Linked DNA regions of Tamandua tetradactyla. The protein of the gene in region 1 interacts with the protein of each later gene in a pairwise test. Links are inferred from orthologs where the notes say so. Each region holds a gene or a part of one and is shown on either strand. Other genes may lie near its edges. The genes, in order: CHD3, PTN, IMMT and HABP4.

What was found.
Region 2: the proteins of CHD3 (region 1) and PTN interact in a two-hybrid assay, tested with the Homo sapiens proteins (2 studies listed by BioGRID and IntAct). The link is inferred for Tamandua tetradactyla from reciprocal best matches to the Homo sapiens genes CHD3 and PTN.
Region 3: the proteins of CHD3 (region 1) and IMMT interact in a two-hybrid assay, tested with the Homo sapiens proteins (2 studies listed by BioGRID and IntAct). The link is inferred for Tamandua tetradactyla from reciprocal best matches to the Homo sapiens genes CHD3 and IMMT.
Region 4: the proteins of CHD3 (region 1) and HABP4 interact in a two-hybrid assay, tested with the Homo sapiens proteins (3 studies listed by BioGRID and IntAct). The link is inferred for Tamandua tetradactyla from reciprocal best matches to the Homo sapiens genes CHD3 and HABP4.

The regions. Positions count from the first base shown.
Region 1 is NC_135332.1:61,727,382-61,734,831, reverse strand, and holds the start of CHD3 (chromodomain-helicase-DNA-binding protein 3), read right to left. Parts: upstream 3,008-7,450; 5' UTR 2,981-3,007; coding exon 2,698-2,980; intron 2,617-2,697; exon of another isoform or gene 2,529-2,616; intron 1-2,528.
Region 2 is NC_135327.1:180,237,431-180,245,133, forward strand, and holds the start of PTN (pleiotrophin), read right to left. Parts: upstream 3,013-7,703; 5' UTR 2,706-3,012; intron 1-2,705.
Region 3 is NC_135343.1:61,150,879-61,158,631, reverse strand, and holds the start of IMMT (MICOS complex subunit MIC60), read right to left. Parts: upstream 3,007-7,753; 5' UTR 2,799-3,006; coding exon 2,754-2,798; intron 2,438-2,753; exon of another isoform or gene 2,297-2,437; intron 1-2,296. UniProt on the Homo sapiens protein: Component of the MICOS complex, a large protein complex of the mitochondrial inner membrane that plays crucial roles in the maintenance of crista junctions, inner membrane architecture, and formation of contact sites to the outer membrane.
Region 4 is NC_135328.1:123,551,448-123,558,520, reverse strand, and holds the start of HABP4 (intracellular hyaluronan-binding protein 4), read right to left. Parts: upstream 3,019-7,073; 5' UTR 2,902-3,018; coding exon 2,547-2,901; intron 1-2,546. UniProt on the Homo sapiens protein: Ribosome-binding protein that promotes ribosome hibernation, a process during which ribosomes are stabilized in an inactive state and preserved from proteasomal degradation.

The DNA.
Region 1 (7,450 bases):
GAGCGAGGAGGAGGAGTCTCTGAACAGGCCTCGCCTCCAGCCCGCCCCTCTCTCCTTCTAATCTCACCATCAATCTCTCACACATATATTTATTTTTTCTCAAATTCTCCTCCCTCCCCCACAACGAGCCACCATAATAGGTCTGTTGCACATGCGTATTGCACGCAGGGGGTGGGTTTGTATTTTCAGGCCTTTTGCAAAGAAACTACCAGAATTTTCCGCACCACCCACAATCATTCCCCACCCCCACCCCCAAGGAATCACATCTATATATTATGTTATATTATTTCTCTAGACTTGCCAGAAGGGGGAGGGAGAAGAAATGAGTTTTGGCTTCCTGCTCCCTTCCCCCAACAGCACGAGTGCTATTATTTTAAACGTTTAACAATGTAAGGAGACTGGAAAGAGGGGGAAGGGATAAAATTGGTCTTGGGTAAGAACGTAAAACAAAATGGTGAGAAAGCAGTCAGAGTGAAAAAACAATGGAAACCTCTAATATGTACAAATTCATATTCTAGAAAAGGATGAACAAGGGCAACCTGAACAAATTTCCTTAGAGGGTTATTTTCCCCACACTTAAACTGAAATAAGCAGACTAAAAATATTTTCCCAAAGTTTTACCTCACAAAGTCATCTGAGGGGGTGTATCTGGGTCACTCATTTGACTTGGAGGGCTGAAAAGGGACAAAAGAAAATTGCCCTGGGAAGGAGGGGAGGTGAACTTTCATTACAAACATTAAATTTTAAAACCAGTTGACATTTCTTCTCATCTATTCAGAAACCGAAGAAGGAAAGGGGGAAGGGAGTATTGACACAAAGACCCAGCTCAATCTTAGATTCTTTCAGGCTCTTCTCTTGCACATATCCAAATTCCGCTTCAAAAAAGCACAATTACCACCTTCCAAGCTGAGAATCCAAGTGGGTGCGAGCTACCAATGCCCTAACCAAACATGACATCCTACACCCCCACCTCCCACCGCCCTTTTTAGCACCTCTGTCGTTTTCAAGCCGCCCCCCCCCCCCTTTATTCCTTTTCCCTCACACAAAATCACAGTAGACCGGCTGGGAAAGTTCGTAAAAACTTTTCCTTTTCACAGAAGACCAGGCCAAAAAATTACTCTCCTGTTTCCCTGAGACACAACAGCCCCCTCCCCACCCTCCCCCCAACTCCGAAAGTTCGACACAATCCTTCAAAGTTTGTCTCAACCAGGCAGCAACGTTTGCCACATAAGCCTCAATGATCAAATATAACAGTTTTTACAACTGTTATATTTGTGTGTGTGTGTGTGTGTGTGTGTGTGTGTATATATATATATAAAATACTGAGAATGATATTAGACATTTTGAAGTTTGGTGCATTTGTGCTGCATGGCATCCAGAGGTGTGGCTGTCCCCCTTTCGTTCCCCAAGCAGGGGGTGTGAGCACAGTGATGCTCACTTAGAAGACTAGAAATAACCTAACTCCACGGCGAGGTGTCTCTGAGTGGGGCTACCACTGGGCGCCTGGAGAGAGACAGCCGAGGAAACCGTCTGTCCCCTCTACCACCCGTGGACTTGCCCAGGGATGCCAGGTGACTTGTCACCTCGAGCGAGGGGTGCTGAGTAGTGGTAAAGCTCCAGAACAGCTGGGTGGGCAGTTCACGCCCCCAACGTGGTCAGGGTGTGGATGGTTTCAGCGCGAAAGTGAGTGACAGGGGATGGCAGCCACGTGAGAGTCACAGCTGGGCAGCTCGGCCACCCCAGACTGATGGGGTCATGGTGGAGGGGGAAGGCGCACTTGACACAAAGAGCCCAGAGCAGGGGAGAGATGAAGGGGTGGAGTTGGGGGCTTTTAGTTGTCCCAGGCACTCTCTTCGGACTCCCCAATCTTAAGTGTCTGCTGTTTCGATTCCAAACTCGGGCGGGGGTGGGGGTGTGTGTGACCAAGTCCTATTCCAGGAAGTGGTCTGCGTGGAGTGTGGCCACCACCCGCCCCTACTTATCAGCCGCCCACAAACATCCACACGACCCCTCCCCCACGTGCCACCGCAGTCCCCAGAGTTGGCGGGCACCAAAGTCCCCGCAGGTGGGGGGTTCGAAAGCCACCGTCCCCACTCTGCCTTCCCAACTCCTGACGGGAGGGGGTTAGGGCCAAAGTCTGCTCCACCCGCGGAAACCCCATTTTCCCTCGGTCCAACCCCACCGGGGCCCGGACCCGAGGGGCGCTCGCGCGGCCGCCCCTCCCCCACGCGCCCCTCCCCCACGCCGCCGTCCGGCCGCCAGGGTCTCCGCGGTCCCTAGTTCGGCCAGGGAGGGGGCCCTGGCTTCGCCTCGGCCGTTTCCTGCCTACCCCCTCCCCGCTGAGGGTAAAAAAAATAAAAATCTCCTCCTCCTCCTCCCCCGAAAGCCGCGACCGAGTGGCCGGGTCCGCGCGCGCAGCTCGCGCCCAGCGCTCTCCAGCCGGGGCGGCGGCGGCGGCGGCGGCGGCGGCGGCGGCGGGGGAGGGGTGCGGGGGGAGGGGAGGAGGCCTGGCCCCGCGGCGGCCGCCGCCGCTGCCCGCCCGGACCGCCCGGACCGCCGGGGGCGACGGGCCAAGACGGCGCCCGGCGCCCGGATTCGCCTCGGCTCGGCCGCGCGGTGGGTGCCTCGCCCCCGGCCGGCCTAGCTAGCCCGCCCGCGGCGCCCACACGGGGCTGGGGGTTCGCGGCGGCGGCTTACCTGGCGGCGGGGGCGGCGGCGGCGGCGGCGGCGGGGGCAGCGGGGGCGGCGGCGGCGGCGGCGGCGCGAAGAGGTGGCAGCCGGGGGGGCTGTGGCGGTCGCGGCCCCGGTAGTGGCCCGGCCCGCGCCCGAGCACTCCTTCGTCGTCGTCTTCTTCATCGTCCTCGTCGGCCGCCTCCACCTCCTCCTCCTCCTCGTCGCCCTCTTCTTCCTCCTCTTCTTCCTCCTCCGACACCACCATCTCCTCCTCCTCCTCCTCCTCGTCCCTCAGAGGGGAAGCCATCCTGTGGCTCTGGCCCCCCCACCACCCCCCCACCCACCGCCCGCCCGCCTCCCCCACCGCTACCACCACCACCACCTCCTCCTCCTCCTCCTCCTCCTCCTCCTCCTCCTCCTCCTCCTCCTCGGCGGCGTCCTCCTCCTCACCGCCTCCCCCAGCCCCCCAAACCCCCGGGCCACCCCCCGCCGAAACCCCCACCCTCGGGGCCGCCGTCTGAGGAGGGAGGCTAAACCACCCCCAAAATTTTCTTGGAAAAAATTGACTTTTCCCCCCTCTGTCTTTCCTCCCAAGAGAACAAGAAAGGGGGATTAAAATATATATATATATATATATATAAAAGTTTTCGACTTCTCTCTACCCCCCTCTCCGTTGCTTTTAAATATATTTAAATTCTGAGGGGGGCGCTCAGAAATATTTCTTAGAGCTGAGGCACTAAGATGGCCGCCTTGAAATTATTTTTAAAACAACCCCCCCTTTCCAGGACCGCCACCCCCTCCATAAAGAAAGGGAGAGGGGGGTAAAAATCCCCTTTTAAAACAAAATGGCTGGCTTAATATTTCATTTTTCACCCCCCCATTCTCCTCTCTATTCACCCCCATCTCCAAGCCTCTACCCAGAAACCCACAAATTTCTCCCTTTTTTCATAACTGATTAGTGCACAGATTAATAGAGATATTTTCCTTGTGTACTGAAGTGTGTGTGTGTGTGTGTTGGGGGGGCATGAAGGATTTCTGCATAAAACAAAAATGGCTGCTGACTTACTCCCCCCTTATAAAAAATATTTGAGGGGGGGGCATTAATCAGTACTCATGCTCAGTCTGACATCAGCATAAATTGTTAAAGGTTAACTAGTTAGATACTAGTCCAACTAGATTTAATTTTTTTTTCTTTTCTTTACTAGTCTCTTCCTCCCCACCTCCCTTCTGTAAAGAAAAGCTTTTTTTTTTTTCTGAATACTTCAGAAGGGAGTGGTTTGATGTGAAGGTTTTTTCCCCTTCAGGCATTGAAAAGGAAAAAGATGAAATATATGTTTATATATAATTCTGTTTCTACATACCTCGTTGACGTTAAAACGCATTTAATTGTGTACGTATGTTTTAAGTGAGAATCAGTATTGGATTTTTTCCTTCTTTCTTTAAAAAAAGTAATAGAATTTCTAGTGACTTTTGGGGGAAAGATATGAATAGATTCGATGATTGAGTTTTTTTCAAAGGAGTCCATGTTTGATTCTCCCCTTTGCCCAGCCTTTTCAGTGATTTATCTTTGTTGTAAATTTTATCTATACTCTTTTTCCTCTTTCACCCTCCCCTCCCGGAATTGCTTGAATGTAAATTTTTACTTGGGAAATTAACTTGGGGTGTAAATGGAACTGATTTTTAGAATAAAGGGAAAAGAATCAAGTCTGAAGATTGTGAAATTATTTTCTCTTTTCTCCCATTTCAGTATGTATTTCCTTCCTCCATGATCTCCAACACTTACAAAGTGGAAGAAACTGAGGTACTATGAAAGAGAAAAGTCACCGGGACTCAGAGAAGGACAGAGGTAGGGGTTACACTCAGGCGTTTCATCTGATGTTCTAACCCATGATTTCCACCACTATCCCAGTGTTTATCTTTAAATAGTACCAGGAATCAAATGGAAGGTTGGAAAGGAATCCAAAAGTGGCTTCCTGATCTAGACATCAGAGAGGTCCAGACATAAAACTTGCCAGTTGGAGGTGGAGTGACACCATCCCTCTACCTTTAACACCAAGAAGCAATGCTAAGTAAAGGAAGAAGGAGGAGAGATTAGTTGTACCCTTTTTCATTCTTGTCACCCTTTTCTCACTCTAGTTTCCTGCCATTCTTTTCCTCTCACTTTGCCCCTTTTCTTGCTTCCCATCCCATGCCTCTGGAATCATTTTTCTCCAGGATTATTTCTCTGTCTCTTAAGTAGAGCTGCGTCCCTAACCAGCCTCTGCAGTGCTCAGGAGCACTCTTAAAGGCAGGGGTCAGTAGGCAGCAGGCAGAAAGTATTAGTGAAAGAAAATAATATGCACATTTTTGCTGAAGAGGCTAAAATGTTATCAAGGACCCACTGCTTTCCCCAAACACACTTTACTGAACAATGGTTTCTATCTTTTTCTTAACTGGAATCCCCTTGCCTCTCCTCCCATATTCCTGTACTGAGTCCTACTGGTCTTCTTCCAATAGATTTTGTTCTCCTTTCCTCTTTCACAGTTTCTCAGTCCTAGTCCATTTAGGTATCCCTGCCTCATTCTGTACATGGGCTTTTTTGTATGTACATCTTTTTACTGAAACGGTCTTCTTCATCCCCATGCTTCTTAGGTTCTGTCACCTCTAAGTAACTTTCCATCTCTGTCTTAATTTAATTTTGCCTTCCGGTCTCTGCTTGTGTGTGCCTGTTCCTCATGTGTGCCTGCCTCCCCCTCTTTCTGGCCCCCTGTGTGTGTCTGGAAGTGTCTCCACATGTATTTGGGCCACACAGTACATCGTGTGCACTGCAATCCCTCTACCTCTGTGACACCCTCCATTTCTGGCAAGTACCTCTGCCGGCTTGCCACATGTGCCCTGATTTGCAGGTGTGGGTGGCTGAAGCTGGTTTTCTAGGTGGCTGTGTAACATCCCTGTACAAACATTTGTCACTCTCTCTTGAGTATGCTTTGCATCTGGATCTGTTCGCTTGCCTGATTGTCCCTCTCCTTGTCCTTCTCCCCCTCTGCCAGCCTGTATCTTTCTTTTGGATTCTTTTTTCCTCCCTACTGACCTCTTGATTTTTCTTCCTCCTATCCTTGTTTCCACCTGCTTCTCTCCCTCTACCTGGTTGCTCCAATTATGGTGTCTGCCTGCCTGCCTGTCTGCTCCTCCCTGGCTTCCTGGCAGCCTCTTTCTCTCTCTGGTTGTCTGTCTGCTTCTCTGGCTGTTTGCCCGCCACTCTCTCTCTAGCCATCTGTCTCCCTGACTGCCTATCTCTGTCACTTTTTTAGCCTGCTTTCCTTGGTCTGTCTACCTTCTAGACTTCACCATGGTTCCCTTTCTCAATTTGTTTCTTATCTTGTTCTTCTGTCTACTTGCTTCTCTTATTTATACCAGTTAAATTCATGATTTTTCCTTGCTTCCCTTTTATGTCTATCTTCTTGTCTGTCTACCCTACTTGTCTGCTGGTATTCCACTGTTTAATGCTTGTGTCTTTTAGTCTTTCTGCTTTTCAGCTTTTCCTCTCTTGACTTTCTCCTCTTTGTCAACATCCCACTAATGACAATGGTCTCTCTTCCCCAAACTCAAAGTGCTCCCTCTTCCTAAAGTCTTATTTACCTTCCTGCCATATGCTTTCTCTTACCACCTGCCTTCATTCTCAATTACCTCTTTCTTTTTGATGTCCTGGTTACTCAGGCAGTTAGTCTGCCTGCCTCCATTTTTTTGCCATTTTCCTGGTCTTTGCTATCTTCCCGCCTCCTTTTTGCTGACTCCCTGCCTGGCTCTTGCTCTCCTCATCTCTGCTTAGTTTTCTTTTTTCCAATCAACTTTTGAATAACTAATACATACATAAGGTACAAAATTTTTAAAGAACAAAGGTATGCTGTGAAAAGTAAACCTCCCTCCTGTCCCTCTTCACCCCCGCCTCCAGGTCCTTTCCCCAGAGGCAGCAGCTATTTCACATTTCTTGGATATTGTTCCATCGAAGAGCCTTTACACACACAAGTCTACTTTCTTTTCACTTCTCTCCCAGTTCGGTTGGATGATTGTTCCCCTGTCTGTCATGAGTCGTTCCTGCTTTGGTGGACTGGCCGTCTCTTACGTCTTGTCTTTTTGATTGACTAGTTGCTGGTTTCATGCTTTTGGTACCAGGTCCTGAGGAGAGCTCAGGAAAGGCTTGCTTTCTCTTAATCACCTTTTCTACTCTACATTGTAACTTGTCTTAATGAGAGCCCAGCTTTGTTGGTCTCTTCATCATTGAAGTATGTATTAATTGAGAAAAGACAGGAAAGCATGGTTAGACTAAAAAATGACATATAAATATAGTTTCTGTTATTAAGTACAGGTAGTTTATAAATTGAACTGTCACTAATACATAGAGTAGGTGAGGCCTGCCCTGCTTTTCCTACTCAGTTTATGTGAATTCTTTAAGGCATATGAATCTAAATCCTTGTAAGTACAGCAGCACCCTTCGGCTATTGACCGAATCCTGCCCAAGAAGTTGTCTTCTTCTTACTTTAAAAAATCTTGCTTCTTAAACTTTTATCCTTCTGGCTCATCTCACATCCCACCTTAGAGATTTTATAATTCCTTGGGGGAAGAAAAGATAAAGCCTCCATGTATTTAGGTCTCTTTCAGAAGGATGATAAAACTTCTGTACACAACATACTGTTCTTTCATTTCTTGCTTGTTTTTTTAATTCCTGAATATAACTGTTTCAGTCTCTGTATCTCACTTTTCTCTTCCTCTCTTACATCTCTTTGCTTGATTTTGTTTT
Region 2 (7,703 bases), on another chromosome or scaffold:
AAGGCATCACCATCAAAACAATGGAGCCAAAGTATTCAGAGAACTGAAACCCTGGTCTGGTGATCTGGAGCCAACCAGAGTTTAAACTGGGTTGAAGTGTGCTCTGGCGATCTAGAAACCGAACCCATTTAGTCTTAGATCACTGAAAGTGTCCTCAACTTGGACATTATCTTCAGGACATAGGGCAATGATAACTCCCCTTATTCCCATGCCACCAAGTTAAGAAGCATAAGTTTATAGAGAACTGGAATTTATATTCTAAATTCTGAATTCTGGTCCTCAATCTACCATTAATTTATTGCACCCATTTGAACAAACTGGCTAACTTCCGTTTCCTGGGAAAATCTGAGTAGTAATGAAAGCATCACACCACAAATCAGACTATGACCAGAATTCATGTGAGAATGACATTTAAATGAAAAAGCAGTAGATTCGCCAAAGAGAGAATATTTAATTACAATATTTAATTTCTAAAGTTGATTTGATTCTTGGAAATGGTTAAAATATTTGGGGACCTTATTTCGTTTTTAGACCATTTCCAATGATCAGGTTTTCTGAAAATTCAAATCAGGCACTGGCATTACTAGAGTTAATATATACATATATATATATTTTTAAGTGTCCATAATTTGCAAGAGTCCTGCTACATGTTGCTACATGTGAAGATGGAATAAGGTACATGAAAACTTTCAGTAAATTAATAGATCCAAATCTCCTGGGAAGAGGTCTAAGTAATCACACAATTACATTTTAGATTGTACTATAAAATGTATATATTTATATACATTTATTATATTATCCAGATTGTCTAAGTACATCACATTAAATTCAGCTCATAGAAGTCATATGATAACAATAATTTCATTTCCTACTACTGAGAAAATAATGCGTTTGTTTCCCCAAGCAAACAGCTGGAACACAGTACCTAATGCCGTTACAAATGGCTTTAAGTGGGTATCCCTCATAGAAGCCTTCCACTAAATCAGGAAAAGAAAGTGCTAAATGGGATCTGTGAACAGTGGAAAAGGAAAAAATTGCCTTCCAAATGGTTAAAGAACAGCAAGATATCTCTTCAAGTACAAAAATTCTCAAAAGAATAGCATTAGTTGCTTAATCTTAAAAAAATTATCATCTTATTTAACTGAGAAAGTACAAATATTGCTATTCTGAGATAACTCATGCCAAAGGGAGAGGGAAAAGAGATCATGTCCACTCTATTTTCCTTCAAACTAACAGGATTGTGAGTGTTTTTAATGATTTGGTCTTTAAAGGGCATAATTTGCTTTAGAAGGAGCATACTAAAGATGAAATATAAAAGCTTCATTATCCACATTGTGAAACTTCTCTTTTGTTTCACTCCATTTGCCTTTTAATACTTACACATATCAACATGTCCTCAGATGATCAAGGGACAAAAATTGGTTGTACTATTTCGTCAAGTCCACATTTGCCTAGGATCACAAAACTGGTTCATTATGTTATTAGTTCAAAAGAGCTCCTTGGTAGTTTCTTGATCTCCTCCCTACCCTACCCTCCAGCACACACACACACACGCATGCGTGTGCAACCATGCACATGCACACGCATACACTCCACATCTTTCTTAAGCTCCTTAAGCAAAATGTCTAGATGACCCTTAAAATGAAATGCTGAAAGGCTAGAATTTTGTTTCCCTCAAATTCTTCATTCTCCTCTCCCACTTCTCTTCCTGATTCCACTCCTATATTCTCAAGATATCCTCAAAGTTACAAAGAAGCTGTTAACAGAGATAGGAGTGAATGAACAAAAGAATGTATATAAACTCTGTGTGTGTGTGTGTGTGTGTGTGCGTGTGTGTGTGTGTGGTGTGTTAAGGAGAAAGCATGTGAGCACGTTAAGGAAAGAAAGCTCTGTATTCGATGTGTTCAGTAGAGAAGACGTTGAACACACTCCTCTATTTTAAGTAATTTTGGCTTATTAGAAGCATCATCTCTGATAGAAGCTGTAAGTATCTGGCAAATTAGGAATAAATGTATCCTAGGTCCATGTGGGTGAAATAGAAAGTTCAAGTGTCTGTGCCCTGCAGTTATTAAAGTTAACATTGAAATGAGGGATGGGATTCAAGGTGGCTCATTTAAACCTAGGACTTACCTATTCCTAGCACCCTTTCTGGGCTGGCAGGCAGGGCGCACAGTGCTCAGTTCAGCTGGCACTGGGAGGTCCTCACACCCTACCTAGAAATGCCAGCTAAGAATCATCAGTTGGCAAGCCCCAGGGGCAATCAGAAGCAGAAAAGAATGAAAAATGAGACCCGCCTGCTCAGGCCGCCTCTCTTCTCTATCCAGCCACAGACACACCTACTAAAGCATTAGGTTTTGCAAAGAGCCAAAAAGCATTCCTCCAACCCACCCTGGCATATTCTACAGCTGCTAGCAGAAACACCGCCCAAATGAATGCAAAACATTACAAAAGCTTCTTTCTTGCCACTCATCTAAATGTACCCTAACTATCCTGACCTAAATCCCCCAAATTTGCTTTAATTTGCCTGTGCATCCGGTTCAGTTTAGAAAGCAATTTTAGCAAAGACACCAGGTAGCCCCTCTCCCATCTACCACCATAATCTGGCGACGCTCAGAAAAGTGGGCAGGGGTGAAGAGAAAATGAACTCCAAGACGCCACAAAAAAAAAAAAAAAAAAAAAAAAATCGCACATTCCCTTTCACTTACTTTGAGTTGCAAATGTTCTCTCCCGCGCTCAGGCTGCCTTTGTTGGAAGGGGCGAGGTTTTCCGCTCCCGGAGTCCAGGTACGGGACTCGCTGCTGCTCCCGCCGGCTGCTGCTGCCTTCGCTCGCTGCTGGACTACTGACTCACTGGTCTCTCTCTTTTTCTTTTCTCCTCTCCCCACTTTGGATTTTCCTCCGTTCTGGAACTCCCTTGGCGGGATTTTTGGACTGGAAGGCGGGGAACCTGATCCTGCCTTGGACTCAAGTACTCCCTGACAGGGAGTGAACGGAAAGGAAATGGAGAATGGGAGGGATGAGAGGGACGGGCAGAGATTACGCGGGCCGGGCTAGGGAGGGAGAGCGCGGTTGAGAGCTGATTGGGAGTTTATTAAAAGGAGAATACTCCAGGGGCCGTCTCTCCCCTACACGAGCAAGAAAGCGGATTTGAAGGAATAGGTGATGAGATGTAACATTGTTTTGTTTTGTTTTTGTTAGCAAAGAAAATGCACCCCGTATTTCTTTTCTAAACTTCAAGCATTAGCTATTTTTTTTGGAGGAGTAGATACCCCAGTTTACAGAGTAGGCTGTCTTGAGTATAAAATCGATGGCATTTCAAGTTACAATATTGGCCCCTTTAGAAGCAAATGATTTGGAGGATGAAAATGCGCACTCTTAAAATCCTGGCTTTTCATTTCTGCAGATTCCCTTCCTACACGTGTAACAAGTCCTAGTTTCCTCGAATGTCAGTCCCATTACATGTTCACTCACCTGCATGTCACAAAATGTGCAAGGTACTTTTCTGTGCTTGTCACAAAGAATGGCAGATGCCTGAAAATTCCCAATTAAGTGTCACTTTCCTTTAGGGGACTCTTTCTCCTTTTGAATTGCTTGGTACCTTTACTGACCTATTTAGGGACATGCCTTTGACACCCAGACATTAGGGATTAATCAATGTAACTCAAACTCTGTGGTTTGTCTAACTCAGAGCCTGGGTTTCATGGCTCTCTGGAATTCCCATCTCCTTCAGTTAAAGGAAGATTCTAAGGTGATTAATCTAGAATTGTTTTAGTGATACAAAAAATGAATGTGATAAAAATGAGATATTGTGTAAAATGCTTAAGAATTATAAAACAAATTTACACAAACATTCTCAAAATATAAAAAGGGCAATTTTTCTTCCATTCATCAGTTGTTGCTTCCTGCTTCTTGCATCACATTTTCACATCCTTCAGTTTACCGTTTGATGGTGTACACCCCAAATGCAGTTGTAAAATATCCTTCCATTTCCCATAGATCAGAGATTACATCTCCTTAAGTCAATTTCAAAAATATGTATTATGTACCTCATTTAACTCTTAAACACTTAGAATCATTCTTAAACCCCCCAAATTTGAAGAATTGTTTTGTAGCAAGTAGTTTTTAGGGACTCCTGAGCCTTTATATTGACTGGTTATCTGGATGAGTGCCTCATAGAGTAGCTGTCTGGGTAGAATTTTTAATAAGTAAATAAGTGAAGCTTTTTTTTGTCTTTTTAAGAGAAGGATAAGCAATTCATTTGCACGCCTCCAGTCTATCTCCATAACCAACTTCTCCAAATATACTCTTGTGATTGTTAACGTCAAATGTCAACGTGTCTGGGTCATGGTATCCAGTTGTTTTGTCAAGCAAGCACTGGCCTGATTGTTGTTGTGACGGTATTTGATAGATGAGTTAGCATCTGTTGTCAGTTAATTGCATCTAACTCTGACTGCATCTACAAGCAACAAAAGAGATAACTTTCAGCAACAAGGGAGGCTCCTCATCCAATCAGTTGAAGGTCTTAAAAGCCAGAACTGAGATTTCAGAAGTTAAAAGGAATGTCTACCTCTACTTCAACCAGCTAGCTTCCTCTAGGGAATTCAGTTTCACATTCATTGGAGTTTCCAACTTGCATCTTGACCTGCAAAATACAGACTTGCTAATCTCTATAGTTGCATGACCAATTCCTATGATAAACTTATTCTGCTTCTCTGGAGAACCTTAATACAGCCCACCCTATCTTCAAATGAAATAAATAAGGAACTAACTGCTTTCCTCTATACACAGTTTTCAGGTTGCCTATTTTCCTTTTGTGATTCCATTTTCCTGATGAAGCAAGCAATGCTTGCTTTAATGTAATTTCATTAAATTAAATTGTGGAAGAATCACATTGTTATTTTTTAATACTTTTTCCAGGTCCTTCCTTAAAAGGACTTCTCAACATTTCCTGTCAGTCCCTAGAGGTGGAGTTTCCAGGCCATTAAACAGAGGGTTGTCTATTTCCTTTTACTTCTTAAACTTTTTCTGAGCATCTACAAAGATAACCTGTTGCTACCAGGTGAACAATGTTAGCTTTATTGTGGTGTTCCCTATAGGGCTGATAAAGTAAGTATGAGATTCCCAAAGCCTTCTGCTCAATTATATGTATTCTATCAAAATATACCTCTATTCAAATAGGTATCATAAAATTTATTTACATCATTGATTTTCACTTGGTATGTTTGCCCTCCAGGAGACATTTGGCAAAGGTTGGAGACATTTTTGATTGTCACAGCTGCAACTTGGTGGGGAGGTGCTACTAGTATGCACAGGCTAGAGGTGCTACCAAATATCCTACAAGTAACAGAGAATTATTTGACCCAAGATATTAATAGGGTTGAGATTGAGAAACCCTAACTAATGTTATTAATCACTGAATTTTAAAAATGTAAAGAAAGATTCAAGAGTTGTTTTTTGAAAGAAATAGAAATCTGTAAAATTGAGATTAATACTAATTTCATTCAATCCATGGTTTATGGAGAATTTAAGTAGAGCATTAATTTAAATGCCCTCTGAATGTTCAATCTCAAATCCACACTTCATTCTATTCCATAGTCACGGCTCTTTTGTTTTAAGATTTCAAGTTGTTCAGTCATTTCACCAACATTCTTTGAGCACTTATTACATTTTTGTGCATTGGTAAGACTCATGAATAAAAAAAACTAAAAAATTACTTGTTTCATATAACTTACTTTTTTTCATTGTTTTCTTTATTAGAGAAGTTGTGGGTTTACAGAACAATTGTGGATAAAATATAGAATTTCCATATACTGTACCATCACCAACACCTTGCATCAGTGTGGAACATTTGTTACAATTAATGATAGCACATTTTTATAATTGTACTACTAAATAAAGTCCATGGGTTAACTTGTGTAGTGTAGTTCCATGTTTGTTTGTTTTTATAATTCTGTTACCATATGTACATTCTAACATTTCTCCTTTAAATAATATTCAGATATATATTTTAGTGTTGTTAGTTGTCTTCACAATATTGTGCTACCATCACCACCATCTGTTACTAAAATATTTCCATCATTCCAAATAGGAACCACGTATATTTTAAGTCCTGGCTTCTCATTCCCTATTCCCACCTTGTCTCCTGGTAACCTACAGTCTATGAGTTTGCTTATTTTGTTTCAAATCAACGAGACCATACAATATTTGTCCTTTTGTGTCTGCCTTATTTCACTCAACATGATGTCTTTAAGGTTTATCTTTGTAGTGTACATTAAAGATGTGATATGCTTCACGGAAAAAATAAGATACTGAAGATTAAATAAGAATTAAATAAAAATGCAGATTTGGGGGAGGAAAGACTCCCTGGGGTGAAATTGGAGTGAAGGCTTACAAAAGTTGAGGTGACAAGCCAAGCAAGTATTTGGGAGAAGAGTCTCTAGACTGCAGGATCAGTGAATGTAAAGGCCTTGAGTCCAGACCTTGCCTGGTGTCTTAGAGAAACTGTAAGGAGACCATTGTAGCTGGAATCCAATGGCTGAGGAGGAGTTTGGGAGAAGGTGAGGTTGGGGAGTTGACAGACCAGATCATGCTCAGCCTTTGGCCACTGTAAGAAATATACATTTTTTCTGATTGAAATGGGGGCTTTGGGTAGAGGATTAAAAAAGCCTGACTCCATTTCACAAAGTCTCTGATGTGTTGAGAGTAGAGCACATGAGGTCAAGGGTGAAAGCACAGATCCTAGCTGGGAGACTGTTGCAATCATGCCTTGTCCAAATATCTTCCCCTTGTTCCTATAGTTTACCCGTTAACATTTTCTCTGTCCCCAAAATTTCCTGTCAGAAGTTATTTTGGCTTCCTAATGCTTGGTCTTTCCAGGTACAATTAATGAGGCCCTTGCATAAGAGTTTCCAGACTAAAATATAACTAATATAAGATGATTCAAAATCATAGAAATTATAACATGTCCTAAGGCTGTGTTGAAAATGAGGCTGCTAATTTTACGGTGACAAATACAAGGAGAAGTGTGATCAGCATGAAGTTAAAAAAATGTTAAGAAACATGTTGAAAAATTTGTCATTGTGTCTCTTGGATTGCCTGCTTGGCAGAAAATTCAGATTCTTGATTATCGCTCTGGGTTCTTCAATATCCCTAGAATGCAAAAGGGCAATTCATCAAGCTATCATAGTTTGATAATATTCTCATTAATTCATTTCTCTTTCTCTCCCTGAAATATTTCAAATTTAATAACTTTGCTGTGACCAGATTATAAAACCTACTTCTCTCTTAGCTATATTTTTGTAATATGTATGCTGTTTTTTGATTGGAAATAAAAAAACAACTAAAACTAGTTTAAATAAGTCAGGAATTTATCTCACTTAAAATATAGGTGGATGAAGTCTGTATTTCAGTCTTCAAGGACGTAGGTCTTTCCATCTTTTAACTTTGCATTTCAGTTTTTGATCTAGGACTCCTTGGGATGGTTACAAGAAACTTCAGGCATATTCGATTACAGTAAACAAGGCCAAACTCTAGTAGAGTATAGGTTTGCTTCCCTAGTCAGGTAGCCAAATAAAATTATACTAGAAAAAGGAAGAGGTGGAAAGGATCTGGGAAACAATGAACAATGCCTGCTAAAATTTCTCCCTGTAATTTAATACATTTGCAGTTCATCAGTCTCTGAATAATCTAAGTAACTTGATTTAA
Region 3 (7,753 bases), on another chromosome or scaffold:
CGTTCCAAAGCTATGGGGGAAAGGAGGTAACATTCACTTATGGAGAATAAGAAAAATTGATGGAACACATTCATTCTTTCATCCAAGCATGCCACAAGCATTTATTGAGCACCTACTTGGAGCCAAGTACTGTAATACCTATTCTAGGTACTGGAAATACAGCAGTGAACAAGATGGACACAGTCCCTTTGAGGTCCCTTTGAGGTCCCTTTGAGGAGCTTACAATTTAATGGGGGAAACATGCAACAAATATACATTATAACTTTAGGTAGTAGTAAGAGCTACAAAGTAAAAGAAAGGTAAGAACAGAGTGATACAAGAAGGACTGAGTGGTAACAAAGTCTGTTGAAGAAATAATAGGAAGGAAAGCCTCTCTGAGAAGGTTGAGAAAAATAAGCTGAATGAAGAGAGCAAGCTAAGCACAGCTGTGTAGGTAGACTTCCCAGCAAAAGAAACAACAAATGAAAAGACAGGCATGTGCTAGAGATATCAGTGGTATAGTGTGAGGAAGAGTAGAAAAGATATGCAAGAAGCCAGATCACGAAGGGCCAGGTGGGCGTGATCAGGTGTTTAGAATTTATTCTGAGTGTGAAGAGATGTGAAGGGCAGGTATGATCTATATGCTTTTTAAAAGCCTTTACTAACCACTATGTAATAAACTGACAGTAGAAAGCAAGATAAAAAGTAGGAAACATTTTAAATTATGGGATGAAAAGGATTTTAACAAGTGGAATATTCTGGGTAAAGCCGGAAAATTAAAACAAGAATTCAGAAATTTGAGTATAAAGCTCAAAAGAGAACAGAAGAGTGTCATCTGATTAGGGGTTAAAGTTCTGAGAACTGATATAACTCCAAGTATGAGAGTATATAAAGATAAGCAATGAGACTCAGTAAAAGAAACACAGAAAAGAGATGAAGGGTAAAATGGGCCCCAAAACGTTGTGTGAGAGAAGCCAAGAGTTTTATAAAGCAACAATATCAAATGCTGCAGAATGACGGAGGTGAGTGTGAGAATAAACCAACGCATTTTACAAGTTAACAATTTGAAGGTTAGAAGTTTTAACTGAGAGCTTCAGGGTTCACTTTAAAGTTTTAATCACTTTTCTTATTTCCTAATTGGGATCCCAATAAGCAGAAAGTATTTTGATAAAAGTAACAAAAGGAAAAAGTAATTTTGGAGTTTAGGTAAGACAGTCTAGATCAATGACAGCCAAGATGTAAACAGAGAGCAAAATGAGAAAAGGTGTGCCATAACTAGGGCTTTGTGGCAAAAAGAAAAAAAAAGGGTGGGGGGCAGATTTTGCAGATGCAATACAGGTTACTAATAAACTGACTTTAAGTTAATCAATTAGGATGTTATCCAACTGAGCCCGAACTAATCACATAAGCTCTTTAAATTAGGGTCTGAGGTAAGAATCAGGAAAAGAGAGATTCTAAAGTCAGAGAGACAAGTTACTATTGGCCTGGAAGAAAGCAAACATCCATGTTATAAACTCCCTATGGGAGTTTCAAAGCAGGAATTGTCAGCAGCCTCTGACAATAGTTGCAGGGAAACAGGAGTCAATCTTACAGCTGCAAGGAACTGAATTTTGCCAACAAACTTAATAAACTTGCAAGAGGATACTCAGCTCTAAACAAGAACATACCACAGCTAACACTTTAACTGCAGCCACGTATGGACCCTGAGCTGAGACCCCAGCTCAGTCAGTCACGCCCAAACTTTTAATCTACAGAAATTGTACGAAAAACATGGGCATTGTTTTGAGCTGTTAATTTATTAAGCAACAACTGAAAATTAATACAGCCACACTTTCACACAGAAAAGGCTGCTTCTCTTTTCCACGGCAACAAATGCAGAAAGACACAAACCTGGAGGGAAGCAAAAACAAAAATCAAAGTTTGACTTTTATGTCCTCTCTCTCCGTAGGCCTACAGATTTTGTTCAATTACTGCAACACATCTCACTGAACTACCAATCCGCAGTAAACTCTGAACAATGGAAATAGCCCTACTTTAAAAAAAAAAAAAAGTAATGTTAGTAAGTTACTTTGATTACTCATGAAAACTTAAAGTGGTTTGGTGTCTAGGCTCCTTGAACGTCGGTCAAAGTTATGTCAGCACCTGGAGACACAGGCTAACCTTAGACCTCAAATCAAGGTCATGACTCCCATCCTTTCTCCATTAACAGGAGTTTGGGCTCCAAAAGCTAGACTCTTTCAACTCTGCTTAGAGTAAGAATAGCTCCCAGGTATTCTCTGTTGGGAAAGAAGGGCAGTCCCTCCCGGGTAATTACAACCTTGAGCCCAGCAGTTGTAGGCACCTGCTCACTGCGGCAGCACCCAGGATGGGCCACCGCAAGTGCTGCTGGGAACGGTAGTCCAGCCCTCCGACCTTCACCTAGCCGCGCGCGTCCAACCCGCGACGGCGAGCCATAGCCGGGATTGGGTCGTGACTGGGCCGACACGGGGTTGATTGGACCGCACAGCCCGAAGCCCCGCCTAGCCCTGTGCCCGCCTCCCCGCCACTTAGCCACACCGCCGGCTTCAACGATAACCCTCGGGTCTCCAGTCACCCCAGTCGGTGGACTCCCGAATTCACTGCCGCACCAGCCCCTCCCGAAATGCTCGCTAGGAGGGCGGCCCTTAGACGCGCGTCGAGCCGGGGCCTACGCAGCGCCAAAGCCACCCCAACTTTCCGTTAGCGGCCCCGAGTCATTCGCCTCCGGGGCTCTCTCCCAGAGCCCCTGTATTCACCTGGGCGGCGGCGGTCACGCCGGACAATTGACAGACCCGCAGCATCTCGTTGGCCGGGTGAACAGCGCGGCTGGAGTACTAGACAGCTATCGGGGCGGTGCGCCTAAGGGAAGGCGTGTGGGCAACAGGGCGGCGTGCGTGCGTACGTCCGGCGCCCCTCCGCGCCGCAGTCACCGGAAGACCGACCAACGTCCCTGCGCACACGCAGCTCCATGCCCCGCCCCTTGCCGATAGAATGGGCTAACTCGGAAGCGGGGCTGTAGAGGAGATTACGAGTCGGAGACGATTGGTGGAAGGAGGCGGAAAGGGCGACTTTTGTTTCCGGGTTACGTGCGGCTCCAGCTCTGTAGCCCCTCGCTGAATACGGATAGGTCTGACACTGCAGAGAATTAAAGCAAGGAAGCTCAGCGGTGTTTGTCAGCTGAATATTTCGTAGAAACGAATCGGTTTGGCCAGACTTACTTAAACAATGCTTTTGTCTCGGTTTGCGTATGTTTCGCTTGACAGCCCTTCAGGGATTTACCCTGACTGCAGGAGATGGGTGAACTGGATGGACTGTTGTGCAGAACGTATTGTTCACGTTATCTAGTGTCAGGGCAGGGGTAATAATCTGTATGGTCGGACTCCACAGCTTCTACTCCTTCTAGATTGAGCCTCTCACCGGTTTCTCCATCAAGTTTTAATTTCAAGAGGGTGATTTTGACCGGGTCTGTGGAGTAGATTAGAAGATAAGGAGGTCAGTGCAGACGCACTGTTGTGCAAAGTATACCGCTGAATCTATAATCAAACTACGACATTAAATATTGAACGTGGCATTCATTACTACTAGTAGTATTAATCTTATAATCAGAACATTATCGAAACTAAGTTATCTGACAAGTATCTTTGGTTTATCTAATAAATAGCCTGTGTCGTGTATTCAAATTCTTTCTAGTCTTAACTAGGTAATTGATGACATAGTATCCTACCCAAAGGTAAAGAGCAATACTACTCCCTTTTGTAAAATGGAGAAATGGATTTTAAAATTATCTAAAATCAAATAATTACTTACATTTGCGTATATCTTATGCTATCAGGGTGCTTTAGTAATTGCATTTTATCTCTGTTATGCATCTTTGCCACCCAACAACTACAGAGTGTTTTCCCAAGTTCCTAAGTAACTTTAGTGACTGAATCATGATCTGTCCGTCTCTGTCCCTCTTCATCACTGTCAGGCTTGGGTAGTGCCATTTCGATTACTCTTCTGACATCCTGGCTTTGAACTTCTTAGTGCCATTGAGCAATTTCATTCAGCCCTATCCATGTATGGGACAGCCATATCTTGGGTTTGAACATCATTAGTGACCCTTCTGAAGTTAAGATCTCAAACCCCCATTTAGCCTCTCACTTATTTCCTACCCTTTTACTTACCCTTTCTCTCAAGTCCTTAATCTCACAATCCACATGGAATTTTTCAGATCTATTCATTGTTATGCTTTAAAATATTATCAGTACACACCGATGTTCATAGTGGCATTATTCACAATTGCCAAAAGATGGAAGCAACCCGTGTCCATCAACCAATGAATGAATAAATAAAATGTGATATGTACATACAATGAAATATTACTCAGCCATAAAAAAGAAATGAAATCCTAATTCCTGTGACAACATGAAAAGCCCAGAAGACATCATGTTGAGTGAAATAAACCAGACTCAAGAAGGCAAATATTGTTTGATTTCACTGATATTGAAGAATTAGAATAAGCAAATCATAGAATCAGAATCTAGGGATGGGGTGGGAATAGGGAATGAAAAGTTAAGGCTTAAAATATACAGGGTTCTTGGGTGAACCACCGTGGCTCAGTGGCAGAATTCTTGTCTTCCATGGTGGAGACCCAGGTTCAATTCCCTGTGCCTGGCCATGCAAAAGAAAGAAAAAAAAAAAAAATATATATATATATATATATATATATATATATATATATATATATACACACAGGATTCCTGTTGGGAGTGATGGATATGTTTACATAGTGGTTGGTGGTGATGTTAGTGCAACTTTTTTTTACTTTTTTTGTGAAAAATAACACATATACAAAAAATTTGAAAGCACATCACAACAATTAGTTGTAGAACAAATTTCAGATTTTGTTATGGGTTACCATTTCACAATTTTAGGTTTTTACTTCTAACTGCTCTAAGATACTGTAGACTAAAAGAAATATCAATATAATAATCCAGCAATCGCATTTACTAAACCCTACCTTCTCTGTATAACTCTACCATAACTGTTGATCTTTCTCTCACTCTTAAGGGGTATTTGGGCTGTGCCCATTGTAACTTTTTCATGTTGGAAGGGGCTATCAATAATATGGGATAGGGAGACAGAATTAACTGATGTTCTGGAGAGGTTGGCCCCTCTGCATTTCAGGATTTATCTGGTTCAGGGACCCATCTGGAGGTTGTAGGTTTCTGCAAAGTTACTGTACTACATAGAACCTTTGTAGAATCTTATATAACACCCTAGGGGTTCTTTAGGATTGGCAGAGTTGGGAGTTGGCAAGTTATTTTAGGTAGCAATGTTTAACTAAAACTTGCATAAATGTGATCTCCAGGGTAGCCTCTCTCAGCTGCTGAGACCTGATTTGTTAAACTTCTTTTCTCCCTTGTGATCAGGATGGCATTGTTGATCCCATGGTGCCATGGCCAGGTTCATCTCTGGGAGTCATCTCCCGTGTCACCAGGGAGACTTTCACCCCTGGATGTCATGTGCCACATAGTGGGAGAGGACAATGATTTCACTTGCAGAGTTGGCCTTAGAGAGAGAGAGGCCACATCTGAGCTTCATGGAAAGCCTTTCAATCCATTGTTTCTCACCCACGGGGAAAACTGACACAGGAGACTCTTTCCTTCTGACAGGAGGCCAGTTTGGTATGAGAAAATCTGACTGGTATAATACCTAAGTAGACCCTCCTAAGGGGAAAAAAAGGCACCATACAGGCAGGGCAAGAAACAAGAAAACAAGAACTGAAAAATTCTCATCTGTTAAACAAAACTTAAGCTAGAGGTGTGGACTAAGCTGAACTGAAGGTCAAAGAACAGATAGACAAAGTCATCCAAGAAAATTCTAGGTAAGAAAAAGTGAAAACAATCTCCAGAATAAACTAATTAAGTAAATTAAATGCCTAGACACCAGCAAAAAATAACGAATCATACTAGGAAAATTGAAAATATGACCCAGTCAAAGGAACAAACCAAGAATTCAAATGAGATACAGGAGTTGAAACAATTAATTCAGAATGTTCGAACAGACATGGAAACCCTCAACAAAAATCAAATAAAAGAATTGAGGGAGGATATAAAGAAGGCAAGGAATGAACAAATAGAAGAAATCAAAAGTCTGAAAAAACAAATCACAGAACTTATGGAAATAAAAGGCACAGTAGAAGAGTAAAAAAAAAATGGAAACCTACAATGTTAGACTTCAAGAGGCAGAAGATAGGATTAGTGAACTGGAGGGCAGGACATCTGAAATCTGACAAGCAAAAGAAAATATAGTGAAAAGAATGGAAAAATATGAATAGGGACTCAGGGAATTCAATGAGAACATGAAGTGCACAGATATACATGTAGTGGGTATCCCTGAAGGAAAAGAAAAGGGAAAAGGAGGAGAAAAACTAATGCAGGAAATTGCCACTGAAAATTTTGCAACTCTTATGAAAGATTTAAAATTACAGATCCAAGAGGTGTAGTGTACCCCAAACAGAATAGATCCAAATAGACATACTCCAAGACATTTACTAATCAGAATGTCAAAGAGAAAGAGAGAATCTTGAAAGCATCAAGACAAAAGCAATCCATCACATGCAAGGGAAGCTCAATAAGGCTATGCATAGATTTCTTGGCAGAAACCATGGAGGCAAGAAGACAGTGGGATGATATATTTAAGATACTAAAGCAGAAACACTACCAACCACTAATTCTATATCCAGCAAAGTTGTCCTTCAAAAATGAGGGGGAAATTAAAACATTTTCAGACAAAAAAAATCACTGAGAGAATTTGTGACCAAGAGACCAGCACTGCAAGAACTACTAAAGGGAGTACTAGAGACAGATAGGAAAAGTCAGGAGAGAGAGGTGTGGTGAAGAGTGTAGAAATGAAGACAATCAGCAAAGGTAAAGAGAAGAAAAATTAGGTATAATATATAAAATCCAAAAGGCAAAATGGTAAAAGAAAGTACTGCCCTTACAGTAATAACACTAAATGTTAATGGATTAAACTCTGCAATCAAAAGACATAGACTGGCAGAATAGATTAAAAAACAGGATCCATCTATATGCTGTCTACAGAAGACGCATCTTAGACCCAAGGATAAGCATAGGTTGAAAGTGAAATATTGGGAAAAGATATTTCATGCAAACAACAATCAGAAAAGAGTAGAAGTAATTATACTAATAGCCAACAAGTAGGCTTCCAATTTAAAACAATTAAAAGAGACAAAGAAGGACACTATGTATTAATAAAAGGAATAATTCAACAAGACATAACAATCATAAATATTTATGCACTGAGCCGGAGTGCTCCAAAATACATGAGGCAAATGCTGAAAAGAGAAATAGATACATCTAGTATAATAGTTGGAGACTTCAATTCTCCACTCTCATCAATGGACAGAACATCTAGACAGAGAATAAAATATTTAGGAATAAATTTAACTAAAGAGACAAGAGACCTATATGAAGAAAACTATAAGAATTTTTTAAAAGAAATCACAGAAGACCTAAATAAATGGAAGGGCATACTGTGTTCAGGATTGGAGAGTATTTGAATATTACAATAAATGAGCTAGACTTAACAGATATTTATAGAACGTTACGCCCCACAACAGCAGGATACACCTTTTTTTTTCAAGTGCTTATAGATCATTCTCAAGGATAGACCATATGCTGGGTCACAAAGCAAGTCTCAATAAATTTAAAAAGATTGAAATAATACAAAACACTTTCTCATATCATAA
Region 4 (7,073 bases), on another chromosome or scaffold:
TAGGAGTCATCAGCAAAATATGTTAACAATGACAATTTTTGACATTTACCTGTTGTGAAAATATAAAAGTAGTTATTCTAATACATTTCCTGTCTACAACTTGTAGTTTTTAACATTTCTATTCAACTACAGAATTACAGAAGCTTATCCCACATTCTTTCTGCTTCCTCCAAGTCATTTTCTTCTTACTATATCAATTGGGACATCAGTATTCAACACTTAAAATGCAACATTTATTGTACATTTTATATTAAAGTTTCTTCCAAACTATGGAACAAACTGTGGACTTTTAAGTAAAAATTGGCTATTAAAATAATTTTATCATCAATACCCTGTAAACATTTCATTCTCCCTCCAGCACCCCCCCAAAAGAAAAATACTAGGGTTCAATTAATTTTTTCATAACTTAGTGTTAAGAGATCACAAATGGCACTGAACCTAGTCTGTTTGTTTTTTGCTAGATCAGCAGCTCCAAGTGGATAATGCAAGCTCTTCATTTCACTGACCCTTTCTAATAAAAAGCTGGCACTAATCTAAACCCAAGCCCAAGTGAAGGGACAAAATACAATAAAACTGAGTGAGGTTTTTACAAAATAAAAGTGAGCTTTGGCTCAAAGATCAGAGTTCTGAAAGGAAAAGCAAAGCTGAAGCTGCCTCTGTTGACCTGAAGTATGAACTTATTTTCCAAGGCTCACTCAAGGGTCTACGTATATTGTTAGACAGGTGGTCAAGGATATTAAAACCTAAGTCTTCATGGGAAAACTTTCATTTCTACATCCTCTTGGGATTAATGTTTCACTTTCATGTCGAAAAAAAAGTTCTACGTGTGCTAGGTTATAATGTCAAGTAAAGAAGCAGGTTCCTGCCCAATTTAAACTAAGTGAAAAAAAAAGTTCTGTGAACTCACATATATAGATGCAAGCTGTTAATAGTAGGGAAAATAAACGATTTTCACTTTACTTCATACATTTCTGAATTGCTCAAAATTTTTATAACAAAATATATGACTAATATTTTTTTAAAAAGTAAAATGAAATATATTAACAGATACCGTTAAATGCAGTTTCATACTATTTTAAAGGAAAGAATGAGTATTTTCACATGTTAGAAACGGGGAGAGGAAAAAATTAGCCTTCCTCAAATCTTTAGTTTATAACTCTGATTGCTATCTATCCTCACTTACATTTAAGAGAGAAATATAGAACATAACACAAAACGTAAAATATATCTCAAGTCTCACTCACTGTTTAAATAGGCTCATGAACTTACCGGCCTAACAAGAAGTCCTGAGATACCCAAGAGCAATTTTGGGAATTTTCAACATCTTTATTGTAATGACCCGATTTTCTGATTCTCAAGTGACACTTCAGGACTCAACTTTCCAGATAAAGTTAAATCATCACCTAGTTCCTAAAGTTAATGCTCTATACTTACACCTACAGGCATTCTCTCAATAATCTAACGCACAATTTCTATCAAGAAAGGAACAAATCAGTAAACCGAGTTGAACACACTATACATCCTAACGTTAACTATTTTTGCTGCAAACCTCAGGACCATTGCCTTATTTCAGAAAAACAAAGGAAACGCAGGTGGTTTTCTTAAGGCACTGCTGTCACTTCGGTGAGGGAGATGAATTCTGAAGTACACTCCCTGTATGCAGACAGTAGCTCTCCAAGCTCTTCCCCAGCCCTTCTTGCTAAACAGGGCGTAGGGAGGCTCCAGCATTATTGTTCACATTAAAGACGGTATCCTGAGAGTAGCCCAGAGTTAATGACGAGTTACACATCCCATCAACATACGTGATGTACTTAAAACTGATGCTTGCTGACTTCTGGAAGCTACCGAGTGGGGTTGTGCGAGGGCTGAGCGTGGAAGAAGCCGGGGATCCCGCGTCCAGCACCGCGGCCCTGACGTCACAGGGCGGCCCCCCGCGGGCACCTCGGCCTTCCCTCCATCACAGAGGCCTGGAGGCCCCTCGCCTCGGCCTCCCTGCGACTCCTCTTGCCCCCCTTTCCCCCACCTTCTCCTAGAGGGGCGCCCCTTCCTCCCCCTCAAGCTTCTCTTTTTGCCTCCAGAACTGAACCTTGCGGAGGTCGTGCTGGAGAAGGAAGATGGTCTCTGCTAGCTCTCGAGTTGACAGCTCCGGGACAGGAGCCCCCAGTTTTCGCCCCACACACATTACCCCAGCAATATTTGTCAACTTTGTGCAACTCGTCCTAAAGCCTCAGTTTCGGGGCTTCGAGACACCCCCTCCCCCACCTGCAAGCCTCCACCCCTTCCCTATCAATAAAACGGGGTGGGAAAGGCCTGAAGGGGCGGGACACCACCACCCACTTGGGTCTTCTTTTCCTATCCACAACCACAGGGACTCTCAAATTCGACCCAGCTCTTCCCAGGGCTCCCTCCCTTTTCTGGGTCGTGGTTCCAGTGACCCAATCTCACAGTGGGGGTCCAGGGGCGGCTGGGGCAGGATGACCTCCGTGACCCCAGCTCCTTCCCTTCCCGCCCCCCACGCCTACCGGGGGCACCCAGGGACCGCGTACCGGGCGGCTGCGGGCCGCCCCCGGGGCTGTCCGTCTGCTGCGCGCCGGGGGCCGGGAGGCTCTTGCGCTCCTTCTGGGACTCCCTCCGGACGCCGCCCGCGCCGGGTCTGTGGCCCGAGGCCCCGGCGGGGCTCCTGCCGCCGCGGTTGCCAGCCCCGGCCGCCGCCGCCTCGTCGCGCCGCTTGCGCTGCAGCTGCTGCTGGCGCCGGCGCTCGGCCTCGCGCAGGATGTCGAACGGGTCCGACTCGTCGTCCAGCAGCTGGTGGAAGCGGTTGGCCACGACGCAGCCGAAACTCTCCTGCATCGTGGCGCCGGCGGCGGCCGCGGCCACGGGGCTCCCCAGAGCGCCCTTCATGCCTCCGCGGCCACTGCGGGCCCGCCGCGGGCAGCCCACGCGAACTAGTCTCAGCGAAGCCGGCGGCGAGGACCCATCCCGCCCGCCGCCACAGCCACCCTCCCTAACCCGCCCGCTTCCCTGCCCGCCGGACGCCCGCCCCCGCGCCGCAGCCCCTGCAACCTGCCCAACCACCGCCCGACAGCCAATCAGATCACTCGGACACGCCCCCTTGCCTCGCCGGCGAGCCTGGAAGCCCAATCGCCGGCCGGCCGCTGTCACGTCATGCGCACTCTCTGCCCCTCCCCCTCCGATTCCGCGGAGGGTTGGGGCCCTGGCTAAGGGGCGGAGCTACTGGGAGGAGAAAGGGAGGTGGGCAGTCCAGGGGCGGGGAGGTGCGAATAGCCCCTTGCAGGTGTTCTCTGGGACACTGGTTCTACATTCGTTATCGACCACTCTGAGGTTTATATTCATTTAGCCACTCAGCAACTATTTATTGAGCACTTACTGTGTGCCAGGCTTGATGTTGTAGGAGATACTAGCTCCGTGTCTTCTGCAGACTGAGAAAAAGTTGCTCTGAAGGAAAATCACAGTGTTCTCCACGGGCAAAAGAACCTGACCTGATTATGAAGTCTGGAAAGGCATACCTTAGGAAGTGAGTGAAAAAGAGAGAGAGAGAGAGAGAAGAAAGAAAAAATGGTGGTGCTACTCCTAAAGGAATAGAGCCTTGAAAGAGGCCAGTTTAGTGAGAATCATTTAGTTCAATCTTGAACATTTTGAGGTTTGATATAGTCAGTTGCTGGAGTTCAGAGGAAAGCCCTGGCCTGGACTCCCTTCAGGAAATCATGCCTGGACACCTATGGCAGACACTCTTGGCTGCCTGTTTTATAGCCATTCCTGTCCCTCTTCCATATTTCCAGCACTTGTATTTTGTTTGGGCATCATTAAGTTGAGCTCCTTTCCAGCCTCAAGCATGATTAATCGTAAATCATGCGTTATAGTACCACCCCCTTGCCAGTAATTGGTGCAGGAATAGGCTAATACGAAATATGAAGTCCCGAATTGCATCACTGGCCTGTCTTGAGTCACGTGCACAACTTTGACCCAGTTGCTATACTGAGGGGCATATAATTAATTCTCTGATCAGCCAGTCCTGGGTCACACCCAAGCTTAGAGTCTGAGTGAAGTCAGCTCTCCTGAACCACAGGTAGTGAGGGTGCAGGTAAGGTGATTTCCCCAAGGAAAAGAAGGTTTCTAGTTCCGAAAGGGAAGGGTTGATGCTACACAGGTTAACAAATTATTCCATGTAGGTGATGATTAGCCTGAACAACATTATTGGTACATCTCATAGCATTTGACTGTTTTTGCCCTGAATTATAATTATTTCTCCTTACTTCTCCTCCCTAAGGCCAGAAATCTTAGCTAATTCATTCTATATCCTTTCCCTCCCTTCTTTCTGTCCTCATTCTCAGTGCCTGGAAAGGTACCTTTCATTCAGGGAATAATTGTATGAATGAATGAATTTCATATTTGTATACATATGCTTTTTTTTAATTTTTTATTTTTATTTTTTTATTAACGGAAAGAAAAAAAAAAGAAATTAACACAACATTTAGAAATCATACCGTTCTACATATGCACTCAGTAATTCTTAACATCATCACATAGATGCATGATCATTGTTTCTTAGTACATTTGCATCGGTTTAGAGGAACTAGCAACACAACAGAAAAAGATATAAAATGTTAATATAAAGAAAAGAAATAAAAGTAGTAATAATAGTAAAAAACAACAACAAACAAACAAACAAGCAAACAAAAACAAAAAAAAACCCTATAGCTCAGATGCAGCTTCATTCAGTGTTTTAACATGATTACTTTACAATTAGGTATTATTGTGCTGTCCATTTTTGAGTTTTTGTATCTAGTCCTGTTGCACAGTCTGTATCCCTTCAGCTTCAATTACCCATTGTCTTACCCTGTTTCTAACTCCTGCTGAACTCTGTTACCAATGACATATTTCAAGTTTATTCTCGAATGTCCGTTCACATCAGTGGGACCATACAGTATTTGTCCTTTAGTTTTTGGCTGACATATGCTTTTTTTAAAAAAACATACAAGATTAAAAATATGTTCATAAAGTATACAGTTAGCAATTCAGAGAAATGTCCTAGCATTGGCAGGCTCTTCCCAGGAACAACAGGACTTAACTGTTTGGCTTTTTTTTTTTTTTTCCTGGTTCTCATGTATTCAGTTTAAATGGCAAAGAAAATTTTCTATACTGGCGCGCATGAGACTTTTCCTCCTAAAATTCAGAATTTTTCTGAGCAATTTCCTTTCACTGTTTGTAAGTCCTGTACCTCTAGCATAAAGACACATCTTACTCTTACTGGTATACATATGCTCTTGACAGATAATTTTTATGTGTTAAAATTAAATTCCATATTCTATTAATATGGCTGTTATTTTAAAAACAGAAAATAGAAGTGTCAGCAAAAATGTGGAAAAACAGGAAGCTTTGTACTTTGCAGTGAGGATGTAAAATGGTACAGCTGCTGTGGAAAACAGTGGCTCAGATACCACCGCCACTCACCTTCCACTGGGAAGTCCTTTAGTCACATGCCCTTTGACAAACTCTCAGTGTTAACAGTTCATGGCCCTCCAGTCACAAGATTAAGGAAAATGAGTTGGGAAAGGCTACATACAGTAAGGAGAGAATTTTTGATGAGAACTTTGATGAATGATTAAGCCATCCCAAGGAAAACTACATATATGGAAAGAGTCACAGGTATGAGATCAGAAAAGTCAGGTTAATTAGAGTGCACTTTGTGTGTAGAATTGCAAAAACTGGGGCTATACAGATTGTATTAGTTAGGGTTCTCTAGAGAAACAGAATCAACAGGGAACACTTGCAAATATAAAATTTATGAAAGTGTCTCACGTGACCGTAGGAATGCAGAGTCCAAAATCCACAGGGCAGGCTGCGAAGCCGATGACTCCGATGGATGGCCTGGATGAACTCCACAGGAGAGGCTCACCAGCCAAAGCAGGAATGGAATCTGTCTCCTCTGAGTCCTCCTTAAAAGGCTTCCCATGATTGTATTTACATCACTAATTGCAGAAGACACTCCCCTTTGGTTGATTACAAATGGAATCAGCTGTGGATGTAGCTGACGTGATCATGACCTAATCCTATGAAATGTCCTCATTGCAACAGACAGGCCAGCGCTTGCCCAATCAGATGAACAGGTACCACAACTTGGCCAAGTTGACACCTGTCCCTAACCATGACACAGATAGATAGGAGTTTGTCCTTTAATGACCTACTATGCCTCCTGTGCTGTTTTAAAACTGTCTTGTACCCCTGAAAAGTCAAGTTCTTTAACCCTCATTCGGTATTGTGGAGTGGGATCTTTTTACTGTTTCCATGGAGATGTGACCCACCCAATTGTGGGTAGTAACTTTTGATTAGACGGTGTCATGGTCAGGTTCATGTGTCAACTTGGCCAAGTGGTGGTACCGGTTTGTCTGGTTGGGCAAGTGCTGGCCTGTCTGTTACAATGAGGACATTTCAGTGAATTAAATTATGATCACATCAGCTGCATCCACAGCTGATTCCATTTGTAATCAGCCAAGGAGAGTGTCTTCTGCAATGAGTGACGCTTAATCTAATCACTGGAAGACTTTTAAGGAGGATTCAGAAGAGACAGGCTCTCTTACTGCTTTGGAGTTAGTCTAGACCTCCATCAGAATCATTGGCTTCACATCCTGCCCTGCGGATTTTGGACTCTGCATTCTGATGGTCACATGAGACACTTGTATAAATTTTATGTTTCTGAGTGTTCCCTGTTGATTCTGTTTCTCTAGAGAACCCTAACTAATACAACTTGGTACCAGGAGTGGGGTCGAGTCCAGGGGCTCCCACTCCCTTCCACCTGCTGGTGACTGTGGACAGGAACCTGAGTCTGCCTGGCAGAACCAGCAAGTGACCACTAGTTGGGACTCCTTGGCCTGCCATCTGGGCCCCCCTGGCCCCCCTCGACCTCCATCAGTTCCTCCCCCCTCCTCAGCTGCCATGGACAACCTGGCCTCCTGGCTCACCCTTGAGCTGCACAGGCCCCCAGCCCACTCTGACAGCAGCTCCTCTGGGTCTGCGCCTGCTGCTGCATCTTGGGACTGGTGGGGCTCATGTGC